Linked DNA regions of Oryzias latipes. The protein of the gene in region 2 interacts with the protein of the main gene of each other region in a biochemical or structural test. Links are inferred from orthologs where the notes say so. Each region holds a gene or a part of one and is shown on either strand. Other genes may lie near its edges.

Region 1 (4,524 bases), on a different chromosome or scaffold from region 2:
GTCAACCCAAAAATACAAAGGGCACAATATTGTAATGAGAGCATGACTGTTATTAACTGCTGTTATTTAGGTAAAAATGTTTTACCAAAGACATCTGAACAGAGAAATGACCTCATGGGCAAATCATTTGTTTCCATTCAAACTTTGAGTGCTCTTTGTGAATGTGTTTGCATGGTCTGCTGCTTTTTGCCATAATTGTGATGGTTTGATTCAAAACTATAATCATTTTCCTCACTGTTAAGGGTATCTTTTTTCCAAACATGTAATAAATAAATGAACCCTGCTCTCACACAATGTTTGAAATAGTTGAAACACTCATAGGTGTATAGAACTCAGACTGTAAACATTATGACACATGCTGAGGTTTGACATAGACGGACAAAGGTTTTGTATTAAAGACACAAGAGAAACTACAGAGAACTGGTGAAATATTAAAGAGGCTGACTCAAATAGCTTTTGTGTTAGGTGAGAAATCAGTTGATAGGGAGAAAAAAAATGAAAAAGAAAGGGACTAAACCGGTGACAATTACAACAGAAACAACTTTAACGTGTGCAGGTTGCCCTTACCACATGACACTTTTTGTGGTGCTGGTGGCGGAGGCAGAGGCTGGACCTGTCGGCTTGTTTTCTTGGACTTACGGCTCCAGCCATTCCCCCTCTTCCTCCTTCGTCTCCTAGTAGATGACTCTGCCACAGGAGAGTGAATATCTGAAGAAAAAAAGGGATTAATTAAAAAGACCTGCAAGTAAACAATCATGTTTCCAATAGTATTTTTTTCTTTCATTGCTGCACAACCTTTAATCAATTTTGTTAAATGCAGAATGTTTTTAAATAGGCAAAAAAAATATGTACATTTTAAGAGCAACAAAAACAAGTTAGTTATTAAAATGTGCTTTTTTTATATTTAGTGGAGAGAAAAAAAGGTGCAAAAAATTGTTTACCATTTATAGAATTGTGCAATTACCTGTGTTTAATTGCTGTGTGAAAGATGGGAGTGGCATCTCCGTCTGCTGGCAAGTGTGATGTAACCCAGAGATCAACTCTGCGCTGTCTAATTCATATCTGCTTCCAATTCTTTCTGGAGAAGCTAAAAAGAAATACAGAAAATGAGTAATTCTGAAATGAACATCACACCTACTAATAAGACAGGTGGTAAAAGTGAAATCCACACCTGTTCGCCTCCTTTTATGAGACACTAAAGGCAGCAGGTCATGGCGGGTGAGGACTCTCAGCAGCTGCAGCAGAGGTTCCAGGTTCCCGTCACCGAGGTGTCCCCTCCTCTCCAGCTCCAGCAGCAGCTCAAGGCCACTCTTGGGCTTTGAGTCCACTAAAGGCTGCTGCGATTCTTTCGGCTTCAACCGCCTCCACGCTTTTAACAGCTGTGGACTTGGGCTGGCACCCGGGTCCTCTGGACTGTCCTCTGAGGGTTTAACTGTCCAGCCTTCCGGATCTAGGGGGTGTTTGGCTGAGTAGGTTTCATTCAATAGAAAGTAGAGCACTTCAATGTCGGTCTCTGTCAGCTGAGCTCCGACTATTTCAAACATCTCATGAAGAGACATCATCCCATAGTAGTTAAGGCACTCTGCTTCATCCCAGTATAAGGAATTCTTCAGTGTGCATTCAGGATAATTCATTGAAGCCATGGTTTACCCCTTTTTTCCAAGTTTCCCACTCAAATAAAACTGTGGAGTTTAGGGGAAAAAGAAAACAAACACAAAAAAATTACTTTAACCATGTTTATGTTTGAAACTTGAAACCAAACAAATGGTATCAGGTTCCTTAATTAATAATTTCATTTAAAAAACGTAACAATTTGAAGGCCCCACTCCGATCATCTTTTAAAATATTTTCAAAGCGTTCCCCGTGTTGTTTTCTAGGAAGGTTTCTGCATAGCGGCAGGAGTTAATTAGAAATTAACCCCCCAGAGTCGTGGGCAGGACTGCTGGCATGGAGTTAGCCCCCCCTTACCACCATCCCTTTACACACTCGCTTACAGCCCCTCACAATCACAACTTCCACTGCACATTAGTGGTGCAACAAAAATTGTGAACAATATTGGAGCTATCCAACCGTACAGTTTTGAGCCAGATGGCAGCTCAGACGAGGAAAATGAAGCCCAAATGTGTCAGAATGAAGCATCAGAATGGAGCAGTGAGGGAGCTTGGTTGGTGTAGTAGCTTCTACGTCACACTTACACGTTTTTTTGCAACAGCTTTTTGCGTCTAATTCACATCAGTTTGCATAAAGAAATACTCAGAAATGCAATTCTAAGCTAAATTTTCATTTTCATCGGAGTGGGTATTTTAATTGTAGCTAGTAGTTGTCATGTTAAGTCTTTGTGTGTACATTGTGTGCCACAAACGAACACTCACTATTTAAGATTTTCTTCAAACTTGCAAGCAGCTACCACCTATAATGAAATGCATCGAGATGTGTTTAATTACTGTCATATATGCCTAGCTACAATTGCTAATGTTATCTTTACCGACTCGGTACCGTTCCTCTGAACAGAGTTATGTAATCAGTAGGGTGGGGGACAACACATACAAAACACACAGCTCTTCAATTGTTCGATTAAAAACACACACACAGGAGCTCGTTGGCAGTTATACTTCACGTAACACCACGCAAAATTAGCAGAAAAACAATTCTAGAGACAAATAAGACGGTCTATTGTTTGTTTCAACGACGGTCGGTGCGACGACATGATGATGAATCCCGCTGAACTTATTAGTCTAGCAGACGCTAAGGCGTCAACTAATACAGCGTAACGTTAAACACGCGCCTTTAAAACACTATTAGGTTACATTTTCCACAAAGAGAATATTCCTAGAGTGCATTAGACCTCACCTTTCAGCCGCGATAGCTTGCCTGACGCTGGATGATCTAGCAACTTCCACAATGCAACGTGCGACGTGACAGTGGCTAGACGTGAGTCGTAAATTGACCAATCACAGCTCTCGGGCTGGGTTTCATAACGTAAGGTCACGTTTTTGCCACACTTAACATACCGATTGTTCCCAGATTGTTCCTAAAAGAATCAAGGTAGTAATCTCTGTCACTTTGGCACTAAAAATGTTTTTTGATTTCTTGTCGACTTCAAAGTTAAATAGAGGAATGAATAAAATATTTTTATATGGTTAAATGTAAGGGAAAAAATAACATCATAGACTGGGGAGTTCTTTGGTGCAACCAGCAGGGGGCAGTGTGCGGCATTGGTGTTGTAGGAAGTTCTTTTCTTCTTCTTCTTCTTCTTCAGCCACATCACATCCGTGAGGACCAACAGCAACAAAACAACTTGGCTTTTTATCCATAACTTGGTCTGTAAGTATCTACATCGTCTGTAGGTTTGACATTTGACACATCACGAAGGTAAAATCTTATGTCTTTTCATTTCAATGTTTATAAATTACTGTGATCTTCGTACAATCAGTTTGATTTAACATGAGACACGAAGAAGTAGGTAGTATTCATTTTATAAAAGTTATTCCACTTATAATTCGACACATATGGACAAATTTGATCCTTAAAAGATTTTTACTTGCTCAAAATGTCGTTTTCTGGCTCAGTTCTCGGCCTTTGTCAGTGATGTGGCAGTGACCAAGCCCTGTTGACAAAAATTTTCCACTTACGAGATCCGCTCCTATGTTTCTGGCCAATCAGGAACAAGTTTGAATTAAAATCTAACCTCTATGCTCTTAAGAATAATGTGGAAACTAGTGATCATGTAGTTTTTCTTTTGTAGTTACTGCTGTTTCTCCATTTTAAACACATTTTATAAAATATATCAATTGTTATTTACCTTTAAAAAATAAAGTAAACAGGTTTTCCTTTCCTTTTTCCTTTTTTATTTATTTATTTAAGTTTGCTTTTGATGCACCTCGAGGAGTGTTACAAAAATCGTAAAGATTGTATGGTTGTATGGTGTATGGTGTTTTATTTCCCATTTAAACAGGGGAAAATAAAGAAGAATCCAGAAAAATTCTGACATGTTTTATAAAGGATACATATCGTTTGTACATTGAAAAATACGAGGAAAAATGCAAACTTCCAATAAGACAATCTTTTTTTTTCTTTTTTTTTTTTTTAAATTAACTTTAGAAGCAAAATGGAGAAACTAAACAAAACAAAATCTTTAAACCACTTGACAAACCCAATGATGTAACAACATCCCACATGCAAACTTGGCATGCACTTATCTGCATGTTAACAGTAAACAATAGGCAAAAAAGGAAAAGAAAAGGAGTCAGATCTTTCCTGAGCTTCTATCTTCCGTTCATTTGTTTACTCAGTTACCCATTGTAGTATTTGGGTATATGTCTTCAGTCATATGTATATATTTTCTATTTTATGATTTTCTATAATTATTATTAATACTTAGGCTCTTCATTAAACAACCTCAAACTCAAAAACGTTAATATTCTTTTATCCCACTTCATCTCTCGTAAAAAACATCTATCTCCATATAAAGGAAGGCCATTTTTCCACACAGTTTTTGGACTATTTATCTTGTGCTGATCCGAA
Region 2 (4,247 bases):
CCTTCAGTACTCATGGCTAGACCTTTATGGCTTTATGAACCTTTTTTTATTTTTTAACAAATAAACCTCTATTTGGATGTAAAAAGCCAGTAATTTTGTTTTTATTTGCTTTTTAACTTGAATTCTAACAATTTTCTAAAATTTTTGCATGTGTAGTTTTCTCTAAAATAACTTACCAAGACTAATTCCCATTTAATATAGATAACTTTTAAAAAAAAAGTGGCGTTTGAAGGAAGCCAACCTGAAGACAGCTGTTTTCGCGTTTCATGTTGTCTGGAACTACACATTTTTCTTTCATTTCCTTTTTTTACTGAACTGGAATTTTTAAGTTTGTTCAGTGAAACCACAAATTCAACCTTTTTAGAATAACCGTTACATGTCTACTGGGAAACAGACGCACCATTCCAATTCTTGCTTTTTGTGTAGAGAACTTTTTTTTAATGCTCATAAGTATTTGTGTCTCACCTTGATCAAAACCCACACAGTCTATGATCACACACAGTCCTCTCGGCTTGCTGTTCAAGCTGTATTGCTCAAGCTGACTCTGAAATGTGAACAAATATTTGACAAATTACCATTTTATGTGGTTTTAACATGTTGAAATGATCAAGAAAGGGTAATACTAGAGTGGAAATTTACCGTAGTGCTTGGTTGTCTGCATTCAGATGTTGGTGGGCTTTCTCTGACTGTTGTGAGAGAGTGACATGATAATTAAGGGCATACAAACCCAAATACCCTACATTTACTCTGGGGCTTTCCAACTGTAATGTTGTAACTGAAAAGCCCCACTAAAATACTGTAATTAGACACTGTCCATGTTTTGACTTTGACTATTTTGTTGTTCTAACAACATCTCTGTCATAAACACATTATTTAGCTGTCATGTGTCTCACCTATGTTTATGGCCTTTCCTTGCCTTCTTTCCTAAATAGGGCACAACAAAAGAAAATGTTTTATCAAAAGTATTCAATTATGAGAGTACAAATGTTGAAGAAATGTTGTGTTACTTACAGAGGTTTTACTACTTTGCTGATGAGGTGAATGATGGTCACATCTCTGAGCTGAAAATTGCATAAACAAACATTGGTAACAAAGAATTAAAGAAAATTGTTTCTTTTTTAGGTGAAATCAGTAATTATTGTTAGTTTATAACAAAAACAATCAAAAAAAACTTTGTATAAAAGTATTTGACTCATTGTTAATATATAAATATAGTCAATACTGATTAATTAGATGTTTTAAAAACAGAGCGCGGCTCATTTACCGGTTCTCATAGACCTACTACAATGAAAATTGTCCTCATGATGGAGGACATATTTAAAGAAAGTTGAGTTGCTGAGTATTTCTTTGTTCAAATCATTGTGAATCAGGAGCAGATGAAAAAATGCCGTTGGTAAAAGCTTGTAGCTCTGACGTAAAACCCACTACAGCAAGCCACAAGCTCCATACTCCCAGCAATTCGGATGCATCTACAAATAGATCCATGTACGTCTTTGTTTTCCATCCGAGCTGACGTTTGACTCAAAACTGTACGGCTGGATAGCTCCAATATTGCTTGCCATTTTTGCTGCACCGGTATTGTGAAGTTGGGGGTGTTGGGGGATGTGAGCTAGAGGGTGAGAGTGTAACACATGGATGATGGGTATGGAGGGTGGGCTTACTTCACACCAACGTCCCGCCCACACTCAGAGGTGAGTTTTCTAATAAATGCCTGTCGCTCTGCAGAAATTATGGATTTTTTTTGATTTTGCCTAAAAACTGCATAATACTAAATAAAGAGCACTTGGAAATGCTTATGAAATAAATTAAAAGATGTTCAGATTGGGTCTTTAAATACCCTCCCTCTTACACTTCCTCTTACTCTCCCACTTCCTAGTTTCCCATCAGTCATTCTCCCCATAGCCCAAACTTCCTATTTCAAACTAAGCACAAGTAATTTTTCTATAACAATGCATACCGTACCTGTCTTTTTATATGTGGATACTTTTTTGGCAAGGTCGATCCTGCAAATGTTCCTCAAGCACTCCTCAACCATGTCCACTCTCTCTGGGGAAACTAAATCAAGTTTCTCAAGTTCAACGATCACGTCCAAGAAACTCTGCAGTGGGAAAGTAATGGGGGAAAAACAACAGCTTTTTCAGAGTGAAAGTGCATAATGACAAAGGTTTTCCACACACGCACTCACACTTTCCATTCACGTCTATTGACCTAGTGGAAATCCGTCTTCTCTACCTTTGCATCCCTTTTCTCACGTGGCAATGTTGTGCTTAATAAGAACAATATCTGTTCTAAGTCTTCTGTGTCTAGATCTTCACTTATGTTGGCCATCAGTACTCTGCAAAAACAAACAAAAAAATAAAATAAAGAATTACCTAACAAACAAGCAGGCATGCATAAAACAAGACACTAAAGGTTTTACCTGAATTTTGAGAGAACTTGTCTGTTTTCCAGAGTCTGTTCTACTGCATTCCTGCTCAGAGTAAAGAGCTCCTTCAAAATGTCATATCTGCCCATGCGCCAAATGACCTCTGCTAGGAACTGGCTGGCATTGTCGTGGCAAGTAACTTGGAGTTTTAGAGTCTCCCTCACGGACTGTACACTACTGTCTGCGCTCGTGCTGTCACACAGGAAAAGCAACTTTCTGCATTCACTACTACTCAGCGCCTCAACTATTTTGTTGATGTAGTAAAGATGATTACGTTGATGATCCAAAGCAGCCATCGGTACGGAAGCAGCCTGGTGACGGAAAACAGAATAATAGAGTATTTAAAAAAATGTATCTAAACTGTAGACTGACTAATTTAACGGGGCTAGATCAAACCACGGTCGTTTATGATAATTCCTATCAGCTCAAAGTCCATAAACATCCAAACGCGATAACCGGAAGTCCCCTGGTTTAACGTAAAAATAAAAGTAGCCTTCAGCTGTAAAAACATTAAGTAGAAAAGAAACAGACGGAGTCTCATAGAGCCTACATATAAACGTAGGCTTGTTACGAGCTTTTAAGAAGTAACCCCCAGTCCGGAAAGTACCGTCGTGACGAAATTGAAACTGAAACTTAAAAAAAAGAAGAAGATTTTTTTAAAGCTATAGAAATAATGGTCTTTATTTTTTCATCTTCAAAACCAACACAATTATCTTATAAATATCTATATTATTTCAGAAAAATGTCACACGTATATGTCACAAATTAAGTTAATGTTAAAAGCAAATAAGACATATATTAGCATTTTTCTTACATAATTATTAAGAACAATCAAATAAGCAACATGGTTTTTGCTATGCAAGTGCATATTTGATGTACTTCATGGAGCAAAATCCTGTTATTTGTATTATTTTATTTGATCCATAGATTTTACATATATATATTATTTGGATATAGATTTGTCGGATGATTTTACATAAACCAAGTTCAATTTTATTTTTTATATTTGCCTTAATGATTTCTACCTTAGCACGAAGATGATTTTAGTCACACGATGTACCAAACCAACGACTGTGTGTTTTCCAATTGTTTTGAACGCATCAGCAACCATGTCCGCCAAGCCCAGCCAATCGCGTTGCGCCCTGGTTCGGCATCCTTGCAGTGTTGGGAGATGACTTAAACCTGTGCGGTTCACAGCAAACGGTAGGGCTGAAAGACACCTTCGAAAGCCGAGTGACCACCCAGGGAAAATAGTGACCCCGCTTAGTTCATGTACAGACGTTTCGGTTACTGTCCCACATGTATCCGTTGATAAAGTGAGTATCATTTTCGTGGCTGAGAGAAATTCATTTTGTGACTTTAAGGTTGGGACTGACTTGGAATATTATCAGTACAGGTTGTAACTTGTGTTGGTGTCTATGTGCAAAACTAGAGGGCTATCAATATCAGTGTCGCCAAGTGGAGCATACATTTAACCGGAGACCACCATGTCCCATTGATGTTGCCTGGCTTTTTAAAAGTGGGTTTGGCCTGGTCACGACTGTTAAAAAAAGAAAAAGAAAAAGACGAAGATGCCCGCCAGCTGCTTACAAGAAGAGGCATGTTAGCGGCTGCAAGCTCTGCTAACGTGGTGACGCTAAGCTCGGTGCACAGGTTAGAGCCGTCGTGGCAAATATGAAAAAACGTTAGCTAGCCTTAATCAACTGGCTAACAACAGCTTTCATTTCGGAAAACTGGTTAGCTTTTGAAGCTCAGGACAACGAGGTTCCTCGTTTTCCCAGTGAAATGTAAATATCTTAGTTTATTGTTTGTATTACGAGAT

The links.
Region 1: the proteins of cflar (region 2) and dedd2 form a complex in vitro, tested with the Homo sapiens proteins (2 studies listed by BioGRID). The link is inferred for Oryzias latipes from reciprocal best matches to the Homo sapiens genes CFLAR and DEDD2.

Annotation. Positions count from the first base shown.
Region 1 is NC_019874.2:20,936,838-20,941,361, reverse strand, and holds the start of dedd2 (DNA-binding death effector domain-containing protein 2), read right to left. Parts: upstream 2,940-4,524; 5' UTR 2,851-2,939; exon of another isoform or gene 2,850-2,850; intron 2,396-2,849; exon of another isoform or gene 2,373-2,395; intron 1,687-2,372; exon of another isoform or gene 1,683-1,686; 5' UTR 1,644-1,682; coding exon 1,172-1,643; intron 1,088-1,171; coding exon 965-1,087; intron 709-964; coding exon 568-708; intron 1-567. UniProt on the Homo sapiens protein: May play a critical role in death receptor-induced apoptosis and may target CASP8 and CASP10 to the nucleus. May regulate degradation of intermediate filaments during apoptosis.
Region 2 is NC_019879.2:19,821,541-19,825,787, forward strand, and holds the start of cflar (CASP8 and FADD-like apoptosis regulator), read right to left. Parts: upstream 2,984-4,247; 5' UTR 2,722-2,983; coding exon 2,420-2,721; intron 2,336-2,419; coding exon 2,233-2,335; intron 2,099-2,232; coding exon 1,963-2,098; intron 1,062-1,962; coding exon 1,012-1,061; intron 925-1,011; coding exon 894-924; intron 687-893; coding exon 640-686; intron 545-639; coding exon 466-544; intron 1-465. UniProt on the Homo sapiens protein: Apoptosis regulator protein which may function as a crucial link between cell survival and cell death pathways in mammalian cells. Acts as an inhibitor of TNFRSF6 mediated apoptosis.